Tamandua tetradactyla: one gene and its partners. The protein of the gene in region 4 purifies or fractionates together with the protein of the main gene of each other region. This does not show direct contact. Links are inferred from orthologs where the notes say so. Each region holds a gene or a part of one and is shown on either strand. Other genes may lie near its edges.

What was found.
Region 1: the proteins of FBXL17 (region 4) and KLHL9 purify together in Homo sapiens (co-immunoprecipitation; 3 studies listed by BioGRID and IntAct, with this or other methods). This does not show direct contact. The link is inferred for Tamandua tetradactyla from reciprocal best matches to the Homo sapiens genes FBXL17 and KLHL9.
Region 2: the proteins of FBXL17 (region 4) and ZBTB10 purify together in Homo sapiens (affinity purification with western blotting; 3 studies listed by BioGRID and IntAct, with this or other methods). This does not show direct contact. The link is inferred for Tamandua tetradactyla from reciprocal best matches to the Homo sapiens genes FBXL17 and ZBTB10.
Region 3: the proteins of FBXL17 (region 4) and ZBTB18 purify together in Homo sapiens (co-immunoprecipitation; 3 studies listed by BioGRID and IntAct, with this or other methods). This does not show direct contact. The link is inferred for Tamandua tetradactyla from reciprocal best matches to the Homo sapiens genes FBXL17 and ZBTB18.

Annotation. Positions count from the first base shown.
Region 1 is NC_135328.1:75,144,087-75,151,808, reverse strand, and holds KLHL9 (kelch-like protein 9), read right to left. Parts: upstream 3,009-7,722; 5' UTR 2,624-3,008; coding exon 611-2,623; 3' UTR 43-610; downstream 1-42.
Region 2 is NC_135332.1:124,292,409-124,299,411, reverse strand, and holds the start of ZBTB10 (zinc finger and BTB domain-containing protein 10), read right to left. Parts: upstream 3,013-7,003; 5' UTR 2,979-3,012; coding exon 2,004-2,978; intron 1-2,003. UniProt on the Homo sapiens protein: May be involved in transcriptional regulation.
Region 3 is NC_135333.1:15,432,584-15,439,638, reverse strand, and holds the start of ZBTB18 (zinc finger and BTB domain-containing protein 18), read right to left. Parts: upstream 3,010-7,055; 5' UTR 1,504-3,009; coding exon 1,491-1,503; intron 1-1,490.
Region 4 is NC_135347.1:22,019,046-22,025,967, reverse strand, and holds the start of FBXL17 (F-box/LRR-repeat protein 17), read right to left. Parts: upstream 3,024-6,922; 5' UTR 2,925-3,023; coding exon 1,932-2,924; intron 1-1,931. UniProt on the Homo sapiens protein: Substrate-recognition component of the SCF(FBXL17) E3 ubiquitin ligase complex, a key component of a quality control pathway required to ensure functional dimerization of BTB domain-containing proteins (dimerization quality control, DQC).

The DNA of each region.
Region 1 (7,722 bases), on a different chromosome or scaffold from region 4:
GGTTGTTAATTTAGTATATTGTAGCCCCCATCTACCTTTCTCTCTCTCCACAGATACAAGATCCATGATTTAGAGCTAAACTGCTTTGTTTTTTTTTTTAATTTACTATTTCTTTTGTCTGCTGAGAAACTTCACATAGTCTGAATGTGCCCACACAATCTGGTGATTTGATAAAGTATGGCAAAACTCCTTGAAAAGAGGGAGGTAGCTAAAAATACTTGGCAACCTTTTGCTTATTTTCAGTTGCAGAGTCTGCCTCCCTTGATATTTTGCAGTCAAAGATGAAAAGAAAACTTTCAAATTTGATACATAATGCACATAATCATTCATTTACTGCAATAACCTCCGATTTGATTTATACAGCACAACAAAAAAGGCGTCTAAACATTCTAAACACATCTCTTTACATTTGTTAAAACAGCTGGCTACACTGAATACATTTTCAGAATACACTTGTTAATCATTTCCTACATATACTAAGACAAACAACACAGAGAACATCAGTTACCTTTTTATCTTATAACTGTACCAATCACTGTAAGAAGAGATACAACCAAAGAAGAAATATGAGATCACCCATGATCCATTGCAAAAGTATTACACCTTACTCCTAGGAATGATCTGTAGGTGCAGAAAGAGGTGATTCTCTAGACGGTGACCCAGGGTTTTCTTCAGGTGGAAAAACTGTGAGGGTACAAGCTCGAATGCCACCAAGTGACTCTGGAAGGTCAAAAACTTTGTGCCATTCATCTTTTTCAGGGTCATATTTTTGGACAATCTCTACCATACATCGATTATTCCAAGAATATCCACCAACGACATAGATTTTATTTTCAAAGACAGCAACTCCAACATCACTCTGACCTCTTAACATAGCAGCAATTGGTGTCCACTGGTCAAGAGTTGGTGAATAGTATTCACAGCTTAGTACATCATCATAATCACTTGTCCCTCTGAAGTGATTGCCACCAATGACATAGAGCTTGTCTCCAACTGTACACATGCAATGCAGACCTCTGACTGTAGTCATCGGAGCCTTCTGTGTCCATTTGTCGGTATCTGGGTCAAAACACATGAGCTCATTTTGGAAAGTGTCATGTGTAATACCTCCTGAAATATACATTAAGCCTCCATACACTGTTCCAGCATGGCCATAGTGAGGTTCACTCATTTTTGCAACATAGCTCCACTCATTCATTCTTGGGTTGTAACATTCAACTGTAGCCAGTTCACCAGCTGCACTGCGCCCACCAACTGCATACAAATGCCCTTTGAGGGCACTCAAGTGGAAAAATGTGCGCTTCTCATTTAATGATGCAACTTGCATCCATTTATTATACCGAGGATCAAATCTGAAAACTGTATCGACAGCAGTTTTTCCTTTGGTATCATAATTGCTTTGACCACCAACTACATAAAGGAAGTTTCCAATGACAGCAATGCCATGCTGGTAACGAGGAGCATCCATGGGGGCTAAAGATCTCCACTCTTGTGCCCTTTCATCATACATTCGTAATTCTTTACTGACAACCAGCTGCTGTCTCAACACTCCTCCTAATGTAACCAAGTGAGTTGAATCAGATCGAATGGCAGTTCTGTCTGACTGCATTACTGGCTGCATATATGGCATCATTTGGTAATTGCTAGCTTCCAAAAGCAAATTCACACAGGTATTGTCCGTCCTCATGAAATCTACTGTCTGCACATAATTGATGAGGTCCTGTGGTGTCATCAGTGGAAATCGGATGTTCTTCATCAATTTTGCAGCATAATCCATCCGAGGGTCTTCCAACCTTAGCCAGCGGCAAGCAGCCTTGAAGAGTTCAAGTTCAGTACAGTGCTTCAGACTATTACTGGAAAGCACAAAGGCAAGCCGTTCAAATGGGAGCTTTAGGAATTCTCCAGTACTCAATAATGCTGGAAAATTCTTAAGGATGAAGTTATTAACATATTTATCCACTTCTATAAGATTGTAGGTGTTAGCAATTCGTCCAACTTCAACACAGTTATCTAAAGAGACCCCTGATATAAGAAATACTTTGCAGAAGTCCAAAACAGGTAAAATCTGTAAAAAACTGGCAGCTTCAAGTGTGTCCTGAAGATTGTCCATATTAAGAGAAAGTTTTGCAGTATAAATAAAATCAATGATTTTCTTCAGACCAACCTTGTTCACGCCATGAAGCTTGATGCACATTAAATCCTGTTCTTTCATTCCACCTGTGAACATCGCCTTGAAATAATCACTAGCAGACGCCATCATAGCTCTGTGAACAGGAAAGATTTCATCTCCATCACCTGGTATCAGGGTCACATCACAAAGTAATCCTTCTATTCTAAGTTGATCAAAACCTTGCAATACCACTGAACTGTGCGTATTGCTGGTAAAAAACCGTGTGGTTCCTGGCTTGCAAGGCTGCAAATGGGCAGAAACACCCATTTCGCTGTTACCAAGTGACACTTTCATGTGAAAGCCGCCTTCTTGCACAGAGAGATGTCTCCCGGAAAGAGGCAGTAACCTCAACGTTTTAAAGGAATCAAGATTGTCTCCCAAGAAACGGGAGAGCTCTCTTTCTTTATCAAGAACAGTCACTGTGGCGCCCCTCAGGACACTTCTGTCAGTCATCCACTGAAAACTGCTTTGTAGCAGGACCACAAAGGGATGCGGACCTCAAATCTGAATATTATGCTGATGATTCATCACCTGACGGCAGTTAAATGACCCGGTTCACCTCGTCCGGCCTTCGAAGCCGCTCCCGCAGCAGTTCCGCTCCAGGCCAAGGGGGAGGCGCCGCCACGTACAGAGGCTCCGCGGCTCGCTCAGCGGCGAGGCCGGGCACCTCGGCGTGCAGCCGGCTGCGCCCTCCGCTGTCACCAGACCGTCGCCGCGCCTGCGGGGCTATCTCCGAACAAGAGCCTGGAATTCCCGGCCTGGGCCTGGAACACGGGCCTAATCCGGGACACTGAGCCAGTCCTTCCGCAAAGGCAGAATCCCAGGATGCCCCGGGCTAGGAGCGGCCGCGGCAGCCACTGCGGCTGCGCATCCGTCTGAGCTCATCGGTGGGCGGGCGTGGGGGGGAGGGGAGGGGAGGGGAAGTGCGCGGGACGCGGGGAGGGCGTCGGGGAGAAGCGGGCTCTCCGCAAATGCCCCTCTGGAGGGACTCGATTAAGGCGGGCATATTATACCGCACTTCGTATACATCTCTCGCGGCATCCGAACTCTCTCTCCAAATGCATACTTTTTCTTTAAGGTTTACACTTCCTGGTTTCTGTCGTGTTAATTACAGTGAAACACGGCTCTCCGGTAAATTGAAAGGAAACCTCGTAGAGGAGGGGTTGGGGAAGAGGAGGCTTAAATATTTTTTCTTTATAAAACACTTTTGTAATTCTTATCCCAAACAATTTAACTGCCACTTCAGTTATAATTTTGTTCATATTTTCGGGTTTAAATCATTTAAAACACATATAATTTGCCTGTCTGAAAACTAAATTGTCCCCATACTATGTAAATAATATATCGAGTTTTTCGCTCCCAATTCCATCATGTTTTCATGCTTTTGTTTTTCATTCTCAACTTCTTAAATGGCTACACAATTTTCCAACAATTATATGCTATTGTTAGCTTTGCCTAATATTTGTTTCTGGGTCTATACATTCTTGTGCATTGTATAGAATCTGTAATAAACTTACAGAATCTGGGCTCAAAACTTTCCCCTGGTTTTGGATAAATCCTAACAGTAGGATATTAGTTGAAGACATAATGAATCTTTCCAAATTATTGTTTCCAGCAACATTGGAGTGTGCATCCCCCCCCACGCCGCCGATTTTTGCCTTTATGGTATTTTATTAATTTGCATTTCTATACGTGACTGTAAGTTAAAATTTTGGCATACAAATGAATGAACACGTTGACACTATTTCTTCCAACATTTTCCACAACATGAAATTATGCTCTTTTAATGTCAGTAGACAAATGGTTAATAGATTTTAAAAAATCAACTTAGGGCGGTGGGATGGTGGCTCGGCGGCAGAATTCTCTCCTGCCATGCTGGAGACCCGGGTTTAATTCCCGGTTCCTGCCCATGCAAAAAAAAAGAAAAAGAAAAAATCAACTTAATTAGTCACTAAAGATATGGCAATTTCAAAAGAGATTTCCAATTATAAAATAGTCAAAGAAAAATATTCAGGACTTATTAAATTCCAGGCGTTTTACATGCTTTACATATTCTCACAACAATTTTACAGGAAAAATTTATTTCCATTTTTAAAATGAGAAGATTGAGGGGAAAAGAAGGTTAATTTCCAACTGTGAAATGGGAGAGCTGGGATCCAAACTCATATTGTCTGATTCTAGGGCCTCTGCTCTTTACTGCTATGCTACAATGCTTTCATGGTATAAAAATTATGATCATTATTGAAGAGACTGAGATTGATGTTGGCTTTACAAATGGACTTCACAAATAGAGTATTTCTTAGAGTACAGTAGTTCCAATTTTAGAAACATGTTTTGGTACAGTAATTCCAATTCAAAAGCAAAAAGGCAAAGAGCTTGGGTGTGGGTAAGCGGTTTCGACTCTCTCAGCATTTCCCATGTTTATCCCTTCCACAAGTATTTACTGTGCTCCTACCACATGCCAGACACCAGGCTATATGCACAACAGAGGTGATAACATAATCCCTGCCGTGAGAAGGCAGCAGGCTGGTGGGAGACTAGGCAACTAAACAGACAATTAGAACCAAAGACATGCTCCACTCTGCAAATATCTCCTTGGGTTCTTGATGTGTCCCCCACATTCTATTTCCATCTCATATTCACCCAACTCAGACTATAACTACTACTTGCATTAAAAATGTCTTCTTCAGGAATAGCTGAGGTTTAAATGTCTTTATAACTGTGAAAAAGCCTGGCACATCCTATTGTTCCAACTTTTAGAGGAGTCTGTACCAAAAGCACATGACACTGCTGTCCCTACCACTGACCTTGAACCTGGGCCAGTGGAGATGGATCTCGAAGATGAGCTGTCCAATCTGTTCAAGGTCATCTTCTAAAATAAAGATTTCCCAAAACATTCTATTCTGCACTTTCCAGATCTGTCCTGAGAATATCAATCTTGTGATGCCTAAATTTCTTCAAGATGGTTCCCAGTTTTCTGGTGTTTCAGGGCAGCAACAGCAGGATGGGCAGCCCATGGACAGGCAGAGATACCAAAGGTGCTAACTCTACAGAATGTGAACTATTTTTACATTAAGATCAAAATGATGTACTTCACATCCATCACTGGCCATGCTAACCTCAACATGGGTATTATCACGTCCCAGAAAAGCTAAGCCAAACCTGTCATCAAGACAAACTGACCAGAGTTTCTTTGTACAGCTGGTGCTGGTAGGCAGGTTATCTGTACTCTTAATTCAGAAACTGAGCAACGCCTGCTAAGTGCCATCTGGAGGGGGCACATGCACTGGTTGCAGCAGCCAGAACTGTTCTTGAGCAGCTGAGAGCCTGGCCTGGTGTGCAACAGCACCAGGCAGAGGACCCAATTTTATTTTAAATTTAGTCTGATCCCATGTTTCAAATGCTCTGTTTAAATGCTTTTTAGTTTATCTTGGATAAAATTGCTCCATCTCTCAGAGACTCCTCCTTCTACGTCTTCTCCCTACTAGTGTCTGAAACTATGAGAATGTTTCAGATATCCTTCTGACATTGTGAGCATCCCACCCCATGATGGACCTTTTACATGTGCTGGTGGCATCTGGTCTTCAAGGAGATCTCTCCTGCCATTACTGTATCACAGTCTCCAGCTGTGAACACAAGATCCATTCTTTTAGCCTAGCCAAAAGAGAATTAGCCATATTCCCTCTTTGTTGACTCAGTTTCCCTATAGCTTTGTGTGTTCAGTCTGTAGGCCAGGTGATCCACCCCCTGTCTTGACTATGGAACTACCTTATCTTACTCAGTGCCATAATGTTTGGACCATCAGAGAAGAGAAAACAGATCAGCAGAGTTGTCAGCCTCAAGGTTTCCTTTTTGCTGACCATGCTGAGATGCCACGCTTATGTGCTGATGCCCCAGCTTGGTATGAGATGGTCCAGAAGAGTATATTTAAAGTGAGTAGCAGGGCAAGAAGCCATAATCTTTAGTGTTCCCCTAAACTTACTTAGCAAAGCATTCTCTTTCCAGAAGACAATAGTAGACAAAGACTAGGACATGCAAGAACTGCTGTCTGACCATCTCCATATGCTCATCTGCGTGCTCCATTTTCCCATGAACTTACTCATAAAACACAAGTTCAAAGATAAAACTATTAAGAATCTGAAGATGGCAAAAGCAGAACTTTAAACCAAGGTTTCTTCTAAATGTTCAAGCATTGCTATACTTATACGTACATGCACACACACACACACACACACACAACAGCAGCAGCAGTAGCCCAGGGAGAAGGAGAATAATTCTGCAAGTAAAAAGTAGATTATAAAAATCACAGAAATCCAAAATACAAAACTTAGAGCCTCATTCCCTAACTCACCTCATGGGATTCTGCTTGGAACCCCCAATCTGCTCGGAAACATCTCAAGTTCTCTGAGCTTCAGTCCTCTCAAATAGAAAATGAGATTAAAAAAACATCTAGAACTGATGCAGGTACATTTTAAAGCACCTAGGATAATCCCTTATTAGAGTTAGCACTTTAATAAATTAAAAAAAAATGATTCCTTCATTTTCTCAATATTGACCTATACAAGAATATTATAGGTCTTTCTCTATAAAATAGTTTGAAACTAGAACACCTGTCTCTTGGGAGCTGACCAGCTGACAAAAGTCAGCTGAATTCTGGCAAGAAACTTGAAGACTGAAAAACAGACATTCACCATATCATTTCGTCACCACCACCAACCAATGTGTCCCTCTCTTCCTCCAGATTCCTTTATTTGTGGAGTAAAGTTAGACCATCAATGGAACTGACAAGAATGTAGATATAGAGCCACACATATATTGTTGATTGATTTTCAGTTATGGTGTAAAGGCAATCCAATTAAAAAAGGGTAATATTTTTTAAAAAAGAGTGCTGGTACAAGTAGACATTCATATACAAAAAAATGAAGAATCTTATTTGTACCTTATACCATCTACTAAAATAACTCAAATGGGCCACAGACCTAATTACAAACCCTGGAACCATAAGATGTCAAAAAGAAAAAAATAATTGTGACCACTGGTAAGGCAAATATTTCTTAGAAATAATATAAAAAGAAAAATCCACAAAAGAACTGATAAGTTGTACTTAGTCAAAATTATAAATGTTTTCACTGAATTTTGTTATAAAAATGAAAAGACTCAGACTTAGAAAACACATTTATTCAAAAAAGTACTTAGATTTAGAACTTTAGAACTTTTACAACTCTAAAGTAAGATTACAAACAACTTCCCAAAAACTGACAAAATATTTGAAGAGATACTTTATCAAGGAAGTTCTATGAAAGGCAAAATAAGCATCTGAAAAGATGCTCAACATCGTCATCAGAAAAGTGCCACTTTAAACTATGAGCTACCCCTACTAGGACTTTCGAATGGTTGCAGTTTACAAGTCTGCCATACCAACTGTTGATGTGGATGCGAAGTAAGTGAAACTCTTATACACTACTGGTGGGAATGAAAATGGTACAGCCACTTCGGAAAATTTTGGCAGTTTCTTAAAATGGTAAACTACCATACAACTTAGCAATTCCACT
Region 2 (7,003 bases), on a different chromosome or scaffold from region 4:
TTATCTACAAAAAGGGGAGTCTGAAGGATAAAAGGGGGAAAGGAGGGATAGTTCAGAGATTAAGTTTTGAAAAGGCTTCACCTAGGACTGAGTTTCCCGATGCCAGTACAAGCCCGTAGGACACATCACGTTAAATTTACCTCACGGTTATCTAACTGATTCCCCTTTCTTTGATTTCAGGTTCACTAAACAGCTATCTAATTATAATTTGCATTTCCATTCAGGTTTGCCCACAGGGAGAGGCTATGCTGATAAGGAGTAACTGGTTCCACTACAGATTAAGAAAATGCATTCTAATTGCCTTTTTAAAATTTTGTAAATAAACTACCATTATTTGGAAAAGTAAACTTTTTGATTTCACAAATCCCCACATCTGCCATCTTACTAAATAACTGCAAGAATAAATTACTTAACCTTTAAGGCCTCAGATTCCTCTTCTGTAAAATGGGAATAAAAAATACCTTACAGAGTAAGGTTAATAAATGCATGCCTGGCACACAGAAGACAAGGAAATGTTAAGTCTATTTCATTCCATTCTGCCCAAGCTTGCAAGTCTAGTAATTGCAGAAAGCTGAGACCGAACCCACATGTACTTTAAAACTCATTCTTTTTCAGTTAAACTATTGCTTGTTGGCTCTCCTCTCAGTTATTCCCAAGGACCCTACAAGTAAGGACAATGTTACTTAACCTTTCTGGGCATTATAAAGGTGATCTTTCTTCTAGGGCTTAGGCAACTGAAATTTGTGCAAAAACTAAGCTACATTATCTACTGGGAAATATAACCCTATGTTTTAAAAGGTAAAGCCTAACTTCTGAAAAACTTTTGTGCCATGCGATTGGACGGTGCCTAATTAACTTCAGTATAAGTGTGCTGAATGGCAAGATCACTCAGAAAACACTGAAGGACTAATACCCGAAAGGGTTTTCTAAAGCCAACTGACTATCTGACTACCTACCAATACGAAAGAATGAATTCCACCTACCATTATGGATTGCCTAAAATCTGAGGACTGATCAAGATCTGTCTGCTTTGAAAAGTGATATCAAAATGATAAGACTAGGTAACTATCTTTCAACTTGAAATGTTAAAACACAGCCTAAGAATTAAAGAACAGCTTACTTTACTTATTACTAAGGACTTAACTATTCAAGAAGTGTGGGTAAATTCTATCAGTCTAAATCAACTATGGATACAAGTAACTTCACTTAAAACCGTTCTAAATGCTAAGTTTAAAATACTTAACGTAAACTGCATTTATAAGCAACTTTTTGAAAAGGTGAGCTATAGAAAATCTCACAGCACAAAAAAATCCAGGTAGATGGAGACAACATAAAAGTGCTTTAGTTTAACAACAGCAAGCCCCCCCCCTCCCCCAGGAAATTCAACAGAGATGGTTTTAATTAAACTATTCACAAGAGCAAGGAGCGTTTTCCAAAATAACTTCCTCCACATCACAGTGCTCTCATATCAACGTTATCCTGACCTGTTAGAATTTTTTTCGGTTGGATATTTTCCTGAAAGGGTTAAAGTCAACGGTTCAGGAAAGTGTTGCATTCTTCAGCAAGCTGCCCGATTTGACTTCCACCAACATATAATCTTAAAAGACTGAACATAAGGCAGCTTCTCTAAAATCACAGCTAATAAATTGTTGACCGCAAAGTCAATCTTTTAGGTTAAAAACAACAATCTCAACTTTCTTAAACTTTCTTTCCATTCAATCTGAAGAGACAGCAAAGAAATCGGAGTCATACAAAAATCAGGAGAAATAAATCGTGCGTTACGATTAGAAAATTGCCATCCACCATCCGCCCGTTCCCCCTCCACAGACACAACTTTTGAAAACTTGTTCCCAGGCTTTTTCAACTCCCCCCTCCCCACCCCCTCGCTTAAGCTCCCTGCATCTCTTCCAAATGGAACGACGTCTTTACCCAGGAAAATGGAGTTTTTAGCTGATGAGCCTTTACCTAGAGATCTGAAAAAGTAAGAGCAGGATATACGGTACCTGGGCGTTGGCTTCATTGAGTTTGTGCTCGGTAGAAACGTGGTGCCTCAGCAGAAGGGTTTTCTTGTAGTTGCGGGTCCCTCGGGAAAGCTCGTCATGCCCCACTTGGGGAGGATCCCCGCTTCCCCCGTCCTCAGGGGTCTTTTGGCACCACCCGCAAGACATAAGGCCAGTATCCTTGGAATACCGCAGCCAAGGAAAGTCTTTGAGCCAGGAGTTCTGGAAGGAGCAATGCAGCTTCTGCATTAGGGACTTGGGCCGCGCGAGCGGGAAGTGCTGGACAGTCTCCCCTTCGCCAGCTCCCACACCGCTGCCCTCCGCTTCGTCCCCGCCATCGCCGCCCGACCGCCTGCTGCTGCTGCAGCTGCCGCCTTCCGCCCCGCTGCCATCGCCCAGGCTCGCCCCCTCCTCCTCGTCCTCGGTGCTGTCGCTCAGGGACGCGCCGTCCTGCATCAACTCCTTCCCCTCCAGCGCGTCCAGCTCGAGTTCCACAGTCGCCGGCCCTCGTCCGTTGAAATGCCTCAGGGGCCAAGCCGAGGTATCGGGGCGGCCGCGGCTGCTGCCATTGTTGCCGAGACCCCCGCCGCCGCCTCCTCGGAAGGCCAGAGTCCGACGGTTCCTTTCCGCTAGCAGGGGGCCCCCCGCGCCACCGCCGCCCAGCGTGGTGGGGCCGCCCGCGTCTTGGGGGAGCAGCAACTCCTTGGTTTCCTCGGTGGCGGCGGCCGCCCCGGCGGAGGCCTCCAGGTCTTGGGGCTCCAGGCCCTCCAATTCCACTTCCTCGTCGGCCCCCCGCCCATTGAGCTGCTGAGGCGCTGGCGGCTGGGGCTGTCGCGGCTGGGGCTGGTGAGGCCAAGCCGAGGCCTCCCCGCCAGCGTTATTGTTCGTGGAGCCACTGCTACTGCCGCCGCCGCTGGCGGTGACCAACCCGCCTCCTCGGAACGCCAGCGTCCTGCGGTTCATTTCACTGAACGACATGGCGCGCGCCGCCGCCCGGTGCCCCGGCTCGCGCCCGGCCTCGGGCCGCGTCCCGCGCGCTCCCCGCAGCTCCCCCTCCGCTTCGCCCCCGCCCCGCCCCCGGCGTTCGGGTCTCGCGGGGCTGGGGCCCGGCCTCGCCCTCCCGCCCGGCTGGCTGGCTCTCGCTCCCGGGGCTGCCTCACGAGTCCGCCACCGCCGCCGCCCGCCGGGCCGCCGCCTCCGGCCGCTCTCCTTGTCCTCCACCTCCGCCCTGCTGCGCTCGGCGCAGCGTCCCGCGCGGAGAAGGGAGGCGGACGGCGGAGGTGAGGAGCTAGCCGGGGGCGCGTGGGGCCTTCGAAGTTGAGAGGCGGAGTGAGGGGGGACCCTCCGCTGCCCCCGCTTTAAATCCCCACGCACACACAGACCCTCCAAAACAGATATCCTTCCTCCGGCGCGCCGAGGGGTCCCAACGCCGCCGCCGGCTTCCGAGGAGCTGAGAGCAAGAGGCACGTTAAACTGCTGGGCTCCGCCACATAACGAACCGACAATAAAGCCGGCGGAGCGTTTCCGTCCGACCAGGCCCCGGCGGAGGTCGAATGGCAAATGAACAACGGACCGTGAGCCCACAATGCACCGGGGTAGCAGTAACCGCTGGAGGGGGAAAGGGTGGGGGCCGGGCTGGGGGAGGGGGCTGGGCTTGGGGCTGGGCCGGGGTGGGGTGGGGGCGCCAGGGGACCGGGAAAGGGGCTGGACCGCGCCTCTGGCCTGGGGGCGGGGGTGCGGCCGCGGGGAAGGAAGTCGGCGGACGCGCGGGGGACAAAAGGCCGGGCGGCAGACTGGGGGTCTCGTCTCGGGGAGGGGGCGGGCGTGTGCGGCCGGGGCGGGCTACGCGGTGGACAAACAGCTGGCGAGTGTCAGGGTCTGGCCACCTCCCCGCTGCCCACACGCACCTACCCGCGCCCGGGACGCACATTTTCCTTCTCTCGCCACGAGTTCACCTGGGACTTTGGAAATAATTGTGCGGTGGGCGCTGCGCTCCAGCCTTGTCATTTGCTCGGGGGGTGGGTGGTGGTGCCCAAGGAAGTGAACTTATTTTGTTCCTTCACAAAGACTGGACCAAGGAGTGCCTTTCACGCGAGGAGGTTGCAACCATGGACACCTCCTTCTCTGATGCATTGTGTGTGCGAGGCGGCACCTCGGGCCCAAGGCTGTAATCATTTCACAGAAAATGCACCGCCCCGAGTGTCTTATTGCTGTGATGAAATGGAAATTTAAATAAAAGGTCGAACACGTGCGTTCACTGGGAAGTATTGACATGGGTGTTACATCACCAGCAGCCAATCAGATAACTCTAGTCGTGTTTATACTTCTACAACCACCTTGTGAGTATTACAGTATGTCATAACGTTATAAATATTAGGCAGGGTTTTCCCCAGGAGCGGGGAGGAGTCTGCTTATACGGACTTTTGCAGCTCGGAAGATGGTGTTTTAAGACAAGAATGAACTTTTAAGAGTTTTGGTGTTTTTTGTTTTTTAACTGTTTACATTGCATGTGGAATTTAGAGACCCTAAAAGAACAGATTGAGCTGGAATTTTTTAAATTCCTTACTATGCTAAATTTAGTAAATGTTCAAGTATTTAGGCTCCTTTTACTATTTTACAACGTGAAATGTCTTAATTTTTTTTTTCAAACCTTTCAGGTAAAAAAAAGATGTTCTCAAACTATGGAGGGGCTTTTTACTCTTTTAAGAATATATTTATTAAAAGTTGAATAGAAAAACTAAAATGCATCCAGGATACATTGTTGAGGATGAAAAATCATGTTTATATAGTAAGGTATATTTTTAAATTTAGTAATAGTAGTACATTAAGGTGTGCATAGAAAAAACTGAGGAATACTTATGAACTCTTTACAGTTGTATCTAGTGGGAGGGGCTGTTCTTGGGGCTGTAAAATTTCTACATTGTTCACTTAAAGTTATGTGTTTTAAACAGAGCTTATGTTACAGTTTTTAGGCCTTCTAGTTTTATGTTTCTTGATTTCAAGAACATAAGCATATATTTATTATTCTTTTTCCATTTTAAAAATAACAATATTGTATATTGTCTTTTAAAGACTTTGACTATGTGCTGTGAAATATGTGTTTTAGAAGATTAATTAAAAATTTTCCCAAATATATTATGAACTACCATTTATATTAATATTCTTTAATGGGCTAAACACAGGCATTCACATCCAAACTCATGAATATTAGTGATTGCATAGATGTATTCAAAGCAGAACCCACCTAATTCACTGTACTTTTAGCATCTTTATAAATGAGCAGTGTTGTAGATCAAACAAAAAAACATAAGTTCTACCTTATAGAGTAAACGTAATTGTAATGTAAAGATTAACACTAAAAAAATAAAAAGAATAGCATTACTAACCTGCCATACAAAGATTTTGGCTTTGAGTTGTTTTCCCAGAATGATCACATAGCACTCATCTGAGCCATCCACGTTGTCTGCTGGCCACTGGTAATCAAGAGCATGAAATTATAAAAGGTCCTCAGGGTGGTACGTTTTGTGGTTGGTTGTTTTGTCTTGCTTTGTTTTATTTATATGAAAGTTTACGACAGTGGAACCTGTGACCTTGACCCAGTTTGTGACCTGCAGTTGTGAGATTATATCCACTTGACTGTATGTAATATGTGCTTCCATGTAATACAGGAACGAATAATATCATGCTTTGTCCTTCAGTCACTTGTTTTGTTTTATAATTCCAGGCACTTTGCATGGAAATGGATTATCTATTATATTTTAACCATAACAACCCTCTCCCCTGTAAAAAGGGAAAAATTACTGAAGTTAATTACCTATCTAGGTTTGAGGAAGTGTTAGGAACTGAAAATGGATTTAAGAATTTTTCTTCAACATTAAAGTTTATATCCGTTATAAAACGGTTAAGTTCAAATCTTTACATCTATTCATCTTTTATGCCTAATACATATTTTGTAAGTTTAGGCTATTTGTATTATTTGTTCTTTCTGTTAGTTCCAGAATCACCAAAAATGTTTTGAATCCATAATGCTGCTAATTGTATCAGGAGTGATAAATTTCCCAGACATTTATCTTGTCTTATATTTTATAAGATCCCCATTGTCTTCTGTCTGGAATTAGGTTTAAGCTTGGACTAATTAGGAAAGAATGACACCAGTTTCAAATGGTATAAACAAATGGCCTAAAATTGTGGAAATCTAGGACCAATGAACTATTTAACAGCCAAACAGTGTTGTATGTATATGTATATATATGTATATGGGTTTATATATTTATGTGTGTGCATGTGTATGAGTTTTCTTCTCTAAACCCTGAGGGAAGATCGAATCAGAACCAAAGATCACAGGGATAGTAATGGCAATCTCACAGAATACCCTATACCAAGGGAACTTTAAGTAGCAAAAGGGGATCTCCTACTCTGTAAATGGAGTTTTTTTAAATTCCCCCACACCTTCTAGTCTCCTACTAGCAAGCAGGGATCTGTTCTATACTCTAAATCCTGTATTTGCTGTTGGGGTTCTACCATATTTAAGGGAATTCCCCCTTATTCTTACCAGGGGAACCCCTCAAGAATGGGGCATCCCCAACCAATTTGTCCCCAGATTTCATTTGAGAATGTAAAACTGATACCAGCCCACCTTAACTGTGCGATGGGGCCAATGTCCTATACCTGATTCAGTTCATCTTTCATAGTTGAGCGTGACTGTCTGTAACTGCCTGAGTAGATGAAGCTTGCTACAAACACTTGGCTTCTTCAGATGTGTGTAGAATTCACATGGGTCATCCACCAAAATGAAGTACTTGAGGATAGGGACCATGCATTGTACACTCAATACATGCCTTACCCTACCCACTGCCATCCCCAGCCTGCCATGTAGTAGTAGACAATTAGTAAATATTTATTGAACAATTTGCTATACCTTCCCTTGCAAACTGTTTTGGCAAGCAACATTTTCTTCTGTTTTATTTCAGTTAAGTAAAAAAAAAAATCTTTAAAGGTATCAA
Region 3 (7,055 bases), on a different chromosome or scaffold from region 4:
TCAAACTTTTAAATACAGATATACTACTTTCAAATGAAACGCAAAAGCTTTTTAGGTTCACTGCACTCCCCTTCACCCTCATCCCCCCAAAAACCTTTCTAGAAAAAGAGAAACTTTTTTTCCCTATCTGCCTTACTTCAGATTCTGCCAACAGAAAATACTTTGTTTCAACATAACTTGATATATTTTGTTTTCCCATTAGATTCTGTTCTTTCAAATATGCACTGTTGCCCTCATTTTCTGAGAAGGGTGCGTGAAACAGAGAGGAAAGGCAAGGATATATATATGTATACACACACACACACACACACACACACACACACACACACAAAGGTTCAAAATTCAAACGCAATGGATAAACTCTTTAAAAGTAAAGAAACAACTTCTCCTTTCCTGTGACCAGACTCAAAATTCTGCACCATCCATCCCAGAAAGTATATTTGGGGGGATGGATAGATATATATTAATTTAGTGTACAGGTATTACTTCCCTTTTTCTACACTTTGCCCAGGATAATCTCAAACTATCATTCTAACCCCAAATACCTTCCTCAGGATGCCCCTGCCAGAATAAAACAAGATTTACAATACAATCACTTTAAGTGCCCCACAGCTAACATCAATCCTAATCCTTGAGAGGGCTAAAAATAAAGATTGGAGGGCAGCTCACAAGGTAGCCCTGATCAAATTAGGAGGCTGAGAGGACAGAGAGGGACGAAGAAGGAAGCTTATAAACATCTGATCCAGCTGACTGTGGCCATATGGCAGCTGCTGCCCAGATAAAGAGATTAAGAATAGAGGAGTGCGATTACAGCTGTCTGGCCAATTCAGGCAGCTCAAATCTACAAGTTCTAAATTAGTCGCTAACACAAAAACTCCTGCAAATAATTATTGTTATGCTGAAATAAAAGATCTCTTAAATATATATTTGAAAGAGAAATGAGGAAACCAGGCAAACTATTCTCGTGGGGACAAAAGTTTTTTCTTCTTCTTCTTAAAAAACCTTCGGTTTCAAAAGCACTACAGCTGTATGTTTCAGTAGTGCTGCCGAATGTTTTGAAGAGTAAAGTTTCACAGTGGAATTAATTACACAACAATCTAGCTTCTTAACTAGAAGAATCCTCTCATATAAGTTTGAATGCTTGATTCCAGTTTACTATTTCTACCCCAAAAGCAAAAGGAATCTAAATAGCAGGGGCGGGGGGGAAAGTCTATTAATCCAACGTGATCTCCAAAAGCAGTATTTCAAAGCCTTTAACACTTCAAAACTTGAAATATTTCTGTGTATTAAAAAGTTACTCAAGTAAAAAGGGATAAAACATTAAAACTAAACAAGCCCGAGATTTTCAACTCCAGTAGGATGTTCAATTCATACTCAATTTCATACATTATGCCTAAACTGGATTAGAAAAGTAATGTGATTTTTTTAAAATTAAATAAACAAAACACCAAAACAGAAATATGCTCAATCTAATCTATTGCTACTCCTACCTTTAGGACACATAAACCTGATTAAGTCCTTTCCTCTGAGTCTTGCTGGCTCCCGGTCTGTTACATCGGTGGAAAAAAAGCAGACTAAGAGAGACAGATGCAAAGTGGAGATGATGTTAGAGAGGAATGAGATACCTTCTCCACCACAGATCCGCACACACTAACTCCCTGTCTGTGTGTTAGAATAAAAGGCTGAGGGATGGCAGGCTGTCAGCTGCTCTGACATCATGTTCAGATGGAAATGCTACCTCCAGCTGTGCTCCTTTTAATGCCATATGCTACTCCTCTACACTCCTGCCACCAGCTTTTTCTTAGGAGAACTTTTCTCTTCTGTTAGTATAAACAAAATACTTCAAAGTCTCCCTTTTTTTTCCAAACTTTCTAACAGAAGAAATTGGAAAAACTCAGCATATGGAGTTCTACTGTATTTATGGAATAGCAACACTTCTGTCTTAAGTTGGTGGACTAGCTTATATACTGACAGCACACTCAAGCCACAGTGCTATTCAGGAAATCTAGATTCACTTTTATTCAACTCCAACATTTAGTTTCAAAGGCAACTTAACGGATATTTTTAAACCAACCCATTTGACATCTCCAGTCCCGTTGCAACATTTGTACCGCACTTTTTTTTCCGCTGAGATAATGGTATACATGTCTCAGAGATGTTGGAAGACTTATTCAGAACTATAACTTCAGCCTGGCTTACCTTATTTCACTTTTATTTAACTACATATCTACACTTACATGCTCAGTAAAATTTCTCACACTGCTACAGTTAATGCAAATTTCAATTCTCAGTATCAACAAGCTGAAACTGCACTTTCTGAAATCCTGGAAAGTGCTTCAGTTCAATGACAAATTAATAAACTGATACAACCTGCTACAATCACTTAAAATGATTGCTGCACCTGCTATCTGATCTGACTTTCTACTCAGAAAAAAAGCAGAAGAACCTTGCCGTTCTCTTGATCTGTGTCCCATAACAATCTTTTTTGGGGGTCACTCTGCAATGTTCACAGTAATAAGAAAATCTTTCAAAAGGGGTGGGGGTTGGGGGTGAAACACAACCCAGGTCTAGTAAGTTTGGAAAACTTCTGAGCTGGACTTCGTGGGTCTTTTCTAACGGCTGATGACATTGTAATGTAACCCTGGCAGGACGGTCCGCAGCCGTGCAAGGTGCTGCGACATCTGTGAATGTCAAACACATCTCCGCAGACTCTCCTAAGGGTGAGGGGTAGAAAAGGAACTGGGGCCTAGGGCGTCAATGTCTCCGTCTTGGTGATAATCACTCCGTTCTCATTAGAACACCGTGGCGAAGTTAAAGAGTAACAAAAACCAACGACTCTGTCCTGTCCTTCTCGGCTTCCCCCAAAGTCACAAACCTAACTTTCTCTAACTTCGCGGTGAATGACATAATTATGAAGGCCTATTTTAAGAGACATTCTTTGGAGATAAATTCCTTCTCAACTACACCACTTATTATCCACAAATGTCCTCGCCCCAGTCCAATATATCAGACATTAATCACCCCATTTACCCAGTGGAGTGGGGGGGTGGGGGGGTGAGTGACAGTTTAATGAGTCCCAAGCACCGCAATGGGCCAGTGACTCCCACTCCACAAATCACCTCCTTTACGTTTCGCTCCCGCGGGTTCATAGAGGTTTTGTGAGGTGCGGTTTTTGTTTTTCAAAGAGATGGGGGCGAGGGGGGCGGGCTGCTGCGTGGGGAGGGGGAAAGAATGGCAAATCTTTACATAGTTCACTGTGCATAAAACACCCCGGGGAAAGAGGAAGGTTAAACCACAGGGAAGGAGGTGGAAGGCGTAGAGCCGGTGCAGCAGGAAAACACCTTAAACAACAGACGAGAAAACAGACCCGGGTCACGGCAACAACAAAAGAAAAGTCGTAAGAAGAAGCCGGGGGGGGGGAGGAGAGTGGTTGCTACCGCTTCCCCGACGTCTCAGCACACGAGCCCTCGGGGCCTCCGGGCAACTGCACCAGCCCCGAGAGAGGCCCCTGCCCCCCCCTGCGGCCCCCTCCCCCCGGCGCCGCTGCAGCTGCACCGGTCCCCGGAGCCGCGTCCGTCCCGGGCGCCACTGCAGCTGCGGCGGCTCCCAAGCCCCCTCCCCCAGCCCGCCGCCCTCCGCACCCGAGAGGCGCCACCGCAGCTGCACCGGCCGGGAGCCCGCCCCGCGCCGCAGCTGCACCGGCCCGGGGTTGGGGGGGTGGCGCGGAGCCCGCGAGCCAGCACCCCGCCCCGACCCCGCAGCTGCAGCGCCCCGTCCCCGCGCCCCGGCCTCCCGCAGCTGCACCGCCCCCCGCCGCCCCGACAGCTCCAACCACACAAACTAACTCCACTCGCTGGGGGCGCCCCCGGCCCGCCCTCCGCTCGTAGTGCCCCGCCGGCTCGAGGCTGCACAACTGGCGTCCCCGGTCAGCGAGAGGGCCGGGGCGCGGAGGGGGCGCCGGGTCAGGGGGGGCCGGCGCCGGGACTCACACGGAGCGGCCCTAAGTCACCGCGTCCCCGCCGCCGCCGCGTCCTCCGCCTCCTCCGCGTCCTCCGCCGCCGCCGGACTTGGTGGGCTTCCTCCTCCTCCTCCTCCTGCCCCCCTCCCTCCCGGCCCCCCCACCCCCCAATCCCGGCTCCGTCGCCCGCTCCCCCCCGCCCCTCCCTCCCACCCACCCCCGCTGGCAGCCGGAGGAGCGCGGCGCAGCGAAGAGGGCCCCACTCTCAGCGGCTCCCCATGGCAGCAGCCCAGCGGCGGCCGCAGCCTGCCAGACACAGCGAGGGAGCGAGCGAGGGAGCGAGCGCGGAGCCGCCGGGCCGGGGGGTGGGGGGGTAGCGGGGGGGGGCGGAGGGGAGGGGGCGGGAGGACGCACCACGCACGCACGCGGCGGCGCCGGCCAGATGTTCCCCCCCTCGGCCCGCCCCTCTCCTCCCCCTGCCCCTCCCTCCCTCCCCGGGCTGGGCTTCCGCGATTGACCGAGCGCGGCTGGACGGGCGCTCCCCGCCCACCCCCATCCCGTAGTCTCTTCCAATAGGAGGGCGACTTTTCGGGAAGGTGGGGGGGCGGCAGGCATTCGTCGGACTGACAAGCGGTGCCTGCCAATGGGAGAGGCGAGCCGGAGCTGCCGCTCTCAGCTGCCAATCAAGAGCAGAAGCTGCTGGGGGTGGGCGGGCCCGGGCCAGTCGGGAGCAGGTTGCGGAGCGGCGCGGGGCGGAGTCCGGGGTGCGGCGGCAGCGGCAGCGGCGCCCCTCTGGGTGACTTGGCCGTGAGAAAGTGAAAGGATCCCGCAGGCGGTGGCGACAGCTGCGCTGGGCGGGGCTTGTTTCCAGGCCGGGAGGCCCCTGCGCTCTGGGGCTGCGGAGCGAACCTTTCGGTGTGCGCCGTGACAACCATAAGTACACTTTCCAGTGTGTTGGTCTCGAGTGCACTCGGTTACGCGGGGAATAAGGAGGATTCGAGTCCGGCTTTAAGCCGTGCTCCCCTTCGCCCCTCCTGCTGCTGACGACGCCTAGGTCCTCGCCTGCCAGAGCGTGGGATAGCAGAACCCGCGAATGGTCTCCAGGTGCCCGTCGGGGCGCTCGGGACGCTGGAGGCTTCGAGAGGCGCGTTCCCGGGCGCTCTTCCCCTGCGTGGTCGTTTAGAGCACAGCACAGCGTCTCTATTTCCCACAGAACTCCCACGTCCCGTGTGCATTTACAGTATTACAAGCAAAAACATTCTTAGGTTACCAAGTTTTAGAGAATTACGGTAAAACTGATACGTGTAGATGCCTTAACCTGATTCCATCCCTATTTACCTAGTACACGTTATCAAACCCAAACTTTACATTGCCAAGGACAGAGATACACCAGTCTCTTTTGCCTTCCTTCAAATAAACTCGTATTTTATTCGGTACTTGCCCTGCAAAAAAATGTGTTCATTGCTACCACGGCCACAAGCAAATGTAGAAATGTCTGCCTTCAAGAAACTGGAAATCCTGTTGAGGAAGCGAGAATTACAAGTAAAAAGTTGGATAACAAACAAAAAGTTGCAAAAAATTGCATAAGCGGAGGAGGTCAGTGCACTATTAGTTGTCAAATGAGTTTATTCTTTACTATCTGAAGCAGGATTGGTAGGCCTGCTGCTAACCAACTTGCCAGGAGACCTTTCAAGTGGGCAAAACGTGCTTTCCAGGTCAGATGGTTGAAATAGGTTGAAAGTATGGTTTGGGCAAATCAAACATGTTGAATTGCTAATGAAGCAACAACAGGAGCACATGAAATTCCTGGAACTGAATGGCCTTTAGAATATCCTGTTTGAAACAGTTGTGATGGTCACCACTCTTTCCTCAAACATCTATCACTCATGATTACACACTGACCCCAGGGCCACCTTATAACTAGAGCTTGGTTTTTTTGATTGTTTTTTTCTGTGAAATATACTGTTGTAGCTGTGCTTTTGATGACTTCTAGGTCTTTTCGGTTTGATAGAAGGCCCAATTTCAGCCTGACCTGTTTAAAGTTAGGTAAATCTATTAATATTCTTGACAGATGAAATATACTGTAAAAGCCAAGGTGTTTCACTAACAAGGTCAGGGAAAAGAGAAGAAAAAGAATGGTTCACACTCTTAAAGCTGTTTCTCCTCTACTAAAATTTAAAATAATGAAAATAAACAGCTCCTCTGGGTGAATAGGCAAAGTAATTGATAGTGTCAGAATACTAAACAGTAAATTTCATGAGAAAATTAGAGCATGCAGATTATCCACAAAAAGCTTAGAAATTCAACTCTGGCATACAGAGCAAAATCACAACTCCAACAAAAGCTTCCATGAGACTCAGAAGTCAAATAACAGCCCAGAGATACATAGGGGGAAACTTGGTGCATCAACAGGTGTGACATGTTTTTCACTTCTAACAATCACTACTAGAATCCATTTTGAGGACTGATAGTATGACAAGAAATATTAAGTGGATATTTAAGGAAGCAAGTATGTCCCCCTCAATTATGTCAAAGTTTTTACAAATTTATGAAAATATGTGTAGTATATATTCATCGTCAGAATCAAAAAAAAAAATGTTTGTGGAGCATTTATTCTGTGCTAGGAAGGTACTCGGGCAGAGATACGGGAAGACATCAAAAAAGTTTAAGACATGGTCTCTTCTTTCCAGAGTTTAAATTTAGTTGGGAAAAAAATGGGATAAATATGTTTTTAAAATGGAGCAAAGAAACCAAATGACATAGAGGATATAGACCTTAGAGGTAAGTTTCCTGTTCAACTGGTACAGCCTATCCCTGGTCCCTGGTACCCTTTTTTTTTTCGCTGCTCTTACATTTCAATTTTCTTTGTTTTATTCTCTAACCTCTGACTTTATTTTAAACTGTCTTATTATAAACTTACTGTACAAATGATACTTTTAATCCTTTTTGGAAAGGTATCAGCATACAAATTATAAACAAAGTAAGATATATCAGAGATGTCGTCAGAAAAATTGCTGTACTTTATTCATCATGGGAGGTAATAAGTCAGATTCTAAACACCCCCTTCAAGTAAGCTTCTCAAATTAGGGTCTGCTTA
Region 4 (6,922 bases):
TATGGTATATACACTTAGGTCAGACTCCCTCAAGACTCGGCCATTCATTTCCCATTAATATTTATTGAGTGCTACCATATGCTGAGTACTGCACTTGGGGAGGGAATACAGTAGAAAGCAAGGCATACAGCCTTCTGCCCCAAAAGCCTTGTCCCCCAAAATCCTACTTGGAAAGAATCTTGATTTCAATTCATTCCAGGCTGTCCCACTCACTTCATGCTGAATGCTACAAGGACCACAAGATCTGTTAGAGAATCTTTATGTCAGTTTCTATTACAAGAAATGGAAATCTACTTAACATGTCCAAATACTCCAACATAAAAGGGCAAGTAATTGTCAAAAGATCCTCAGGCCAAGTTTTCAGCAGTCTACAGCAAAAATGTGAAAAAGAAGAATGAAGCAGATAGAATAAATTTATTATAGGGTTTTACTACATTGCAAGATTATGGGGGGAATAAAATTAAAATGTTCTCTACCGCATGAAATAATTTAAATAAAAAGTGCCTCGTTTTTGTTTTGGTTTGTTTTTTAGCAGTCTTACTTAGCCAAATAAAAAGACAGCAATTAAACCTCGTGCCAAATTTATCAATGATCTAGAGGTATCAGGAAAGTTCCCTCTGCCCTAAAATCCATCCCCTTCCCACACCACATGACAAGCAATTACTCTTCAATATACCTCCAGAAGTGCTGTCATGTTCCCCTCACTTTTGCTGTATTTTCACAAGAAGACTAATTCTACTGTTCACAGTAGAACAGATCCAAACATACGGAATTATAAATATGCAAAAAAGACTAATCAAAGAAGGTATACTGGTGACTGGTGACCTTGAGTATCACTAAAAGTAGTCAAATTCTTAACAAGGTTATTTATGGCTAACCTTAAGTATTATCCACAGTGAAAAAGGGAGGCTTATGTTTCTTAAGCTCCAGAAAGGGAGAAGAGGAAGGAGCGACAGCAGGCAAAAAATGAGACAAAAGAACTTAAGTTAATCATAACTTCATACAAATTCTATCTCATAACTTTGTCACTAACATTGACAAAATTGCAAAATTCACTTAGTTGAAAGTGCTGCAAAGCTACCACACAACAACCATCTCTTCTCCACACACCCATCCCCAACAAAAAAATACATTTGCCCTTACTTTGTAGGAACCTGTATGCTCTAATGTAGGGATTAAACAGAAGTAATGCAATACAACACAGAATGAAGAACAGGGTTTTTTAGGGCAGGCAGGCCTAAATTCCCTAGTTCCAGACCCAGATGCGCCCCTTACTTTGTGGGTGTGACCCTGTACAAGTCATTCAATGTCTTCATGCCCCACTAGAGTGTAAACATCATCGGAGCAAAGACCACTTCTGCCTGCCTCACTACTGTTAAGTCTGGCCCATAGCACTTAAATGCCAGTTTCTTCTTGAATAAAATGAAGACGTTAACAATATTTATTTCACAGGGTTATATGAAGAATTAAATGAGATATTATGTATACAAAGCTTCTGGCACAGTGCCTGATCATAGTAAGTGCTCAGTACAAGTTAACTGTTATTTCAACCAGCAGCTATTAAATCTAAAAGTATCGTTCGAAGGCTTTCAAATACTAATAGACAAAATCACTATCCAGTAAGTATAAATTGCTCAATTGATAAAATATTTCACAAAAGCCTACAAATAGTTTCTAAACCACTGGGCTTGGAATCTAAAAAGAGACGAACCTTAAACTGTGGGTAATAGATGGAAGTTATAACAGTCAGCAGACTCCACATTTTTCTAGTTCAAAAAACAGACGGTAAGCATCTTCCCTACTGAATTCCCAATCGGATGTCCCTGGCTCTCAGGGCAGCCCCCTCCCCCGTGCTTAGGGGGAGGAGAGAAGAAACCTTGGAGGCGGGGGCCGGAGTTGGGGAAGCGAGCATCCTTGCGGCCCACACCCACCTTGAGCAGAATGGATGGCGGCAGCTGGTTAATGTCTGGGATTTCGGGGGGCGGCTCCCGGTAACAGTCGCAGGGGTTTTCGCGGGACTCCGGACCGTCCGCGTCGCCGCCTTCATGCTGCTGCTGTTGCTGGGCGGGCGAGGGGGCGGCGCCCCCAGCTCGGACAGCGTCCCCGCCGGCCTCTATGGAGGCACCTTCCGAAGTGGGAGAGGAAGGCGGGGGACAGAGCTGCTGCGGGGGCTGCTCCGGGCTCTGGCAGCAGCCGGCGTCGGGGGGCCGCGGCGGCGAGGCTCCTCCCCCCGCAGGCCCTCCTCCGCCGCCACCGCCACCGCAGCCCCCGCCGCCACAGCGGGGCTGCTTGCAGGGGGTGCAAGCAGGGACCCCTGCCCCTTTCCGCTTGCACACCATCTCTGGAGATGTGGTGGGCTCGGGCGGCGGCGGCGACGGCCCCCGGAAGAGGTGCACGGCGGCAGGCGGCCCCAGGAAGCGCACAGGCCCCACGCTGGCCAGGAAGAGGCTCCGGCCCTGTTGCTCCCAGGCGGCGGCCGCGGCCAGCCCCAGCTCTTTGCAACAAGAGGCGGGCGAAGAGGCCGAAGCGGCGGCGGCGGCAGCGGCGGCGGCGGAAGAGAGCAGGAAGCGACAGGCAGCGGCCGCGCAGTCCTCGGCGGCCAGGGCCGCGTAGCGCCTCGCCAGGTGCTGCGAGGAGGCGGCGGCGTAGGCCCCGTCTCTCGGCGGCGGCGGCGGCGAGAGCGGCGGCTCCTCCTCTGGGCCGGCGGGGGCGGGCGCGCCGGGACTGTGCACGATGAAGCAGAGCATGCAGGGCCCGCGGAAAAAGCAGTCCCGGCTCTGGGGCGCCGCCGGCTGAGGGGGCGCCTTGGCCGGGGACCGGCGGGGCAGCCTGAGGAGAGGGCGGCGGCGGCGGCACCAGCTGCAACAGCGAGGCCTCTTCTGGCTTGGGCGGTTACGCGGCTCCTTCGAGAGAAGGTGGCCCATATAGAAGGCCCCGAGGACGGGGATAGGGACGGGGACGGAGGGAGGCCCAGAGAGGCGGGCTCCCGGCGGCGGGACAGGCCGCTCGCTGGCTCGGCCCCGGGCCCGCGGCGGGGTCGCCCGCTCTGCGCACACGCACACACGCACACACAGGCACACACGCGACGGTGGGGGGTGGGCGTCGGCTGCGAGCTGCCTGGGTGCCCGACGGGGGCTACATGCTTTGCCCAGAAAAGCCGGGAAAACGACGGGAGAGAGCTTTGGGGACGCGAGAGAAGGAGAAAGCCTGCCGGCTATGCGACCAGTCCGAGTCCGGGCCCGGCCTGCCGGCTCAGTCAGTCAGCGCCGTGGCCGGGGGAGCGCCGGGTCCCCTTCGGACCATTTTAACTGCGGCTCCGCCGGCAGTGCGCGCACTCGCGACGCGGCTGGGCTCTGCGGGAGCGCGCGGCCCGCGCTGAAAGGGGGCGGAGTCGGCCGCGGCGGCGCGCTGGAGGCGGGGACGCGGGCTTCAGGCAGCTCACCCGGGACTACCGCCAGGCGGGGGACTGCAGAGAGGATGCTGGCCCGCTAGGGCTTGGGGCTCGCGGGGTGCAGCGCGCCTTATTCCCTTCCGGAGCCCAAGGTTTCGTGGAGGCCGTTGCGCCCCCGCCCCCTTTTCTGGAGCGGGAGGAGACGCTTCCGAGCCAGCTGTGTGACATCCGTTTACACTGCCGCGCTGACGTCTAGAGGTGTAAGTTCAAGAGCTGCCATTGGCCAAGAGCCGCTCGGCTCTCCCCTGCACTCCGAGACCGAGGCCAAGTGCTGTAAACAGGAGTCCAGCCGGAAGGGCCGATCTAGGCACAGACTGGGCTCGGGCTACCCCTCGGATGGGGTGGGGGACGCGCGGCCCTTGGGTGATGCGGTCCCATGTCCTTATGTGGGAACGGATTGGTTATGCGGCACCATTGTTTCCCCACTTGTTTTCATACTTGTTGCTTGTGGCATAATGCTGACTTTCCATAACTTTATTTCAAAATGAAGTCGTATATCAAAGACATCACAATAGGAAGATAATTTCTCAACTCAGTAAGTCAAACAGCATCCCAGTCTACTATATATGAAGCCATACATGAATTTATTGTCTGTACCCTCAGAATCCTGTACATCCATCCATCATATACTTTAAAAAATGATTGTGCAGTGCCTACTATAGGACACACTGCCCCAGGCAGTACTTGGTGACCTGGGTGAGAAAGAAGTAATAAGAGTTTGCAGACAAACAACCCTTTAGAAGATTTGACTATAATGAGAGCAGAGAATAAAAAACAGTGGTACATGGCGTTGGAGGGTGGTTAGCTTTCACAAGGAAGAAATTTGAGGATGCTTAAGTATGGGATGGGAATGAGCCAGTATAAGGAAGGAATAAGGGGATGAAAAGAAAAAAACAGTAAATTCCCTGAGAAGATGGAATCTGGAATGCTTTAGGAGGGGTACCTTCCTCATTGTGATTGGAGGGAATGAGGAAAGGATAGATAAAGAATACCGATGTTTGGAAGTTTGTGGCACGGAAGTTGCAAGTATTCCTTTCGGATGGTTTCAATTTCCCTTTAAGTGGAGCCGGTTACCTGTTGAAGGATGAAAGACAAGTCGCAGGGGTTTTAAAAACATCCCATCAAACCTTTGCTAATACCAGTCTCTGTCATGAATGACTTTTATTTTAGGTCTGTCACACTCAGGAATCTACCCCCTTAACCGCCCCTTTCTGCCTGTAGGGGCAGCCTTCCAGTGTCCCAAACTCCACAAGGGGGTGATAGGTGGAAAGAAATGTGGGGCAGTCCCCCTGCCTGAGGACTTTGCCATCTCTACCAGGCTAAACAAAGGGGACGGGTGGGGGTGGGGGATTCCAAGCCTTTTCATGGGGGAAAAAAAAGGGAAAACCACTTAAGTGTGGTGTTGTTGATATGGTGGTACAAATTTATGTTTCATTTTAACTCTCTAGTATGTTTTATAAATGCCTATAGTCGCTATGTATTATTTTAATAATGAAAAATATGTTTCATAAACTTTATAAAATAAGTTAATGAAATGTCTACCATTGTAGCAGGCAGAATTCTAAAATGACTGTCAAGATTCTCACTTCAGATACACCCATCCTACATAATCCACCACCCATAAGCCTGGGAAAGATCTATGAATATGATGGGACATCATTCCCATGATTGGGCCTGACCTAATCAGGTGAGTCTTTGAAAGAAAATCTAGAAGTCAGAGCCAGGGAGATCTCAGAGAAATTCAAAGCAGCAGCAGATATACTTTCTTGTTGGCTTCCAAGAAGGAAACTCCTATGTTGCAGAGAGAGTCACCAGGCAGGAAATGGCAGGTAACCTCTAGGAGATAAAAATAGTCCCCACTGATGGCCAGTGATTTCTGAATTCTGCCAACAACCGCATGAAGTTGGAGGAAGACACTGAACTACAGAAATACATGTTTCAATATGATGACAAAGGCAGTAGTCTACATGACAAAAAAAAAAAATTAAAAAGCAAATGTACTAGTACTGGACAATACCTGGTATCCAATTCAGGCTACATATATATAAAATGATCTGACCACAAATATCATGCTTATGCAAAATAAATTTTTTCTTAGAACATCAAAATTCTAGCCATTCTCACTGCCTACCACCTTATTCCCCTTGTGAGTATTTTGAGAAAACTTCTATAATAAAATATAAAAAGGATCGGTATGGCATTTAAAAATTGCAAAAGCAGAACACAAAACATCTGTAATGCATTTCTATATAAAATACACATTAACTCTTGTTAGTTAAAAAAAGATAGAACAAGAAACCACCCTGAATAACTGTTAAAACCTCATCATGGAAAAATTCTCATCATTTATAACATTACTGGTGTGCCAGTTTGAAAGCCATATACTCTAGAAAAGCCATGTTTTAATCCTAATCCATTTTGTGGAGACAACCTTTTCTTTTAATCCCTATTCAGCACTGTAGGTTGGAAACTTGATGAGAGTATCTCTGTGGGCATGTGACACATCCAATTGTGGCTACTAACCTTTGATTGGAGGGAGATGTGTCTTGATCAGTTTACTGGAATCCTTTAAAAGAGGAAGCATTTTGGAGAGAGGAAGAGAGCCACAACAGAGCCAGGAGAACAACTAGAGCCCATGCAGCCAGAGACCTTTGGAGATAAAAAAAGAAAACACCCCTGGACAAGCTTTATGAAACAAGAAGCCTGGAGAGAAATCTAGCTGACCTCACCATGTTAGCCATGTGTCTTTCTAGTTGAGAGAGAAACCCTGAACTTTATCAGCCTTTGAGTGAAGGTAACCTCTTGTTGGTACCTTAATTTGGACATTTTTATGGACTTGCTTTAATTGGGACATTTTCATGGCCTTAGAACTATAAACTTGCAACTTACTAAATTCCGTCTTTAAAAGCTGTTCCATTTCTGGCATATCACATTCTGGCAGCTAGCAAACCAGAACAATTGGTATACAACTGATGGATATACTTTTAGAAGAAAACTCACTTGAAGAAGTCATTCAAAATATGTTTAAAATTATGAATAAGTAACTCACTGCTTACCCATCCTCAAAGTGTTTTATCATAAATATTCTTCTTAATATTAGCCACAAGAAAAAGAAAAGAGAAACTCCACAGAAGTGTTTCTCAAAATAAGGTCCAAAGGCACAGTAGACTTCTGACGTGGGCCCAGTGAATGTGCATTTTAAATAAACTTCCTAAGTAATCCACATTCTAAAACTTAAGAACTAATGCCGTAGGGAAAACATTATTTTTTTCAGGTTTTCATTGCTTTCAGACCTAGTTATTTGAAGAAAAGAGAGTATATGGCCAGAAACTTTGGAAAAATTACATTTCTAATGAAATGTGGCTTCCAAAAAGGTATTTATTAAATGCCAACAAATTTTAAATAATTCTAAAGTTAAGAGTAGATAGTGTTCCCTAAAATTAAATGTTACTCAGATTGGACCATTATAAG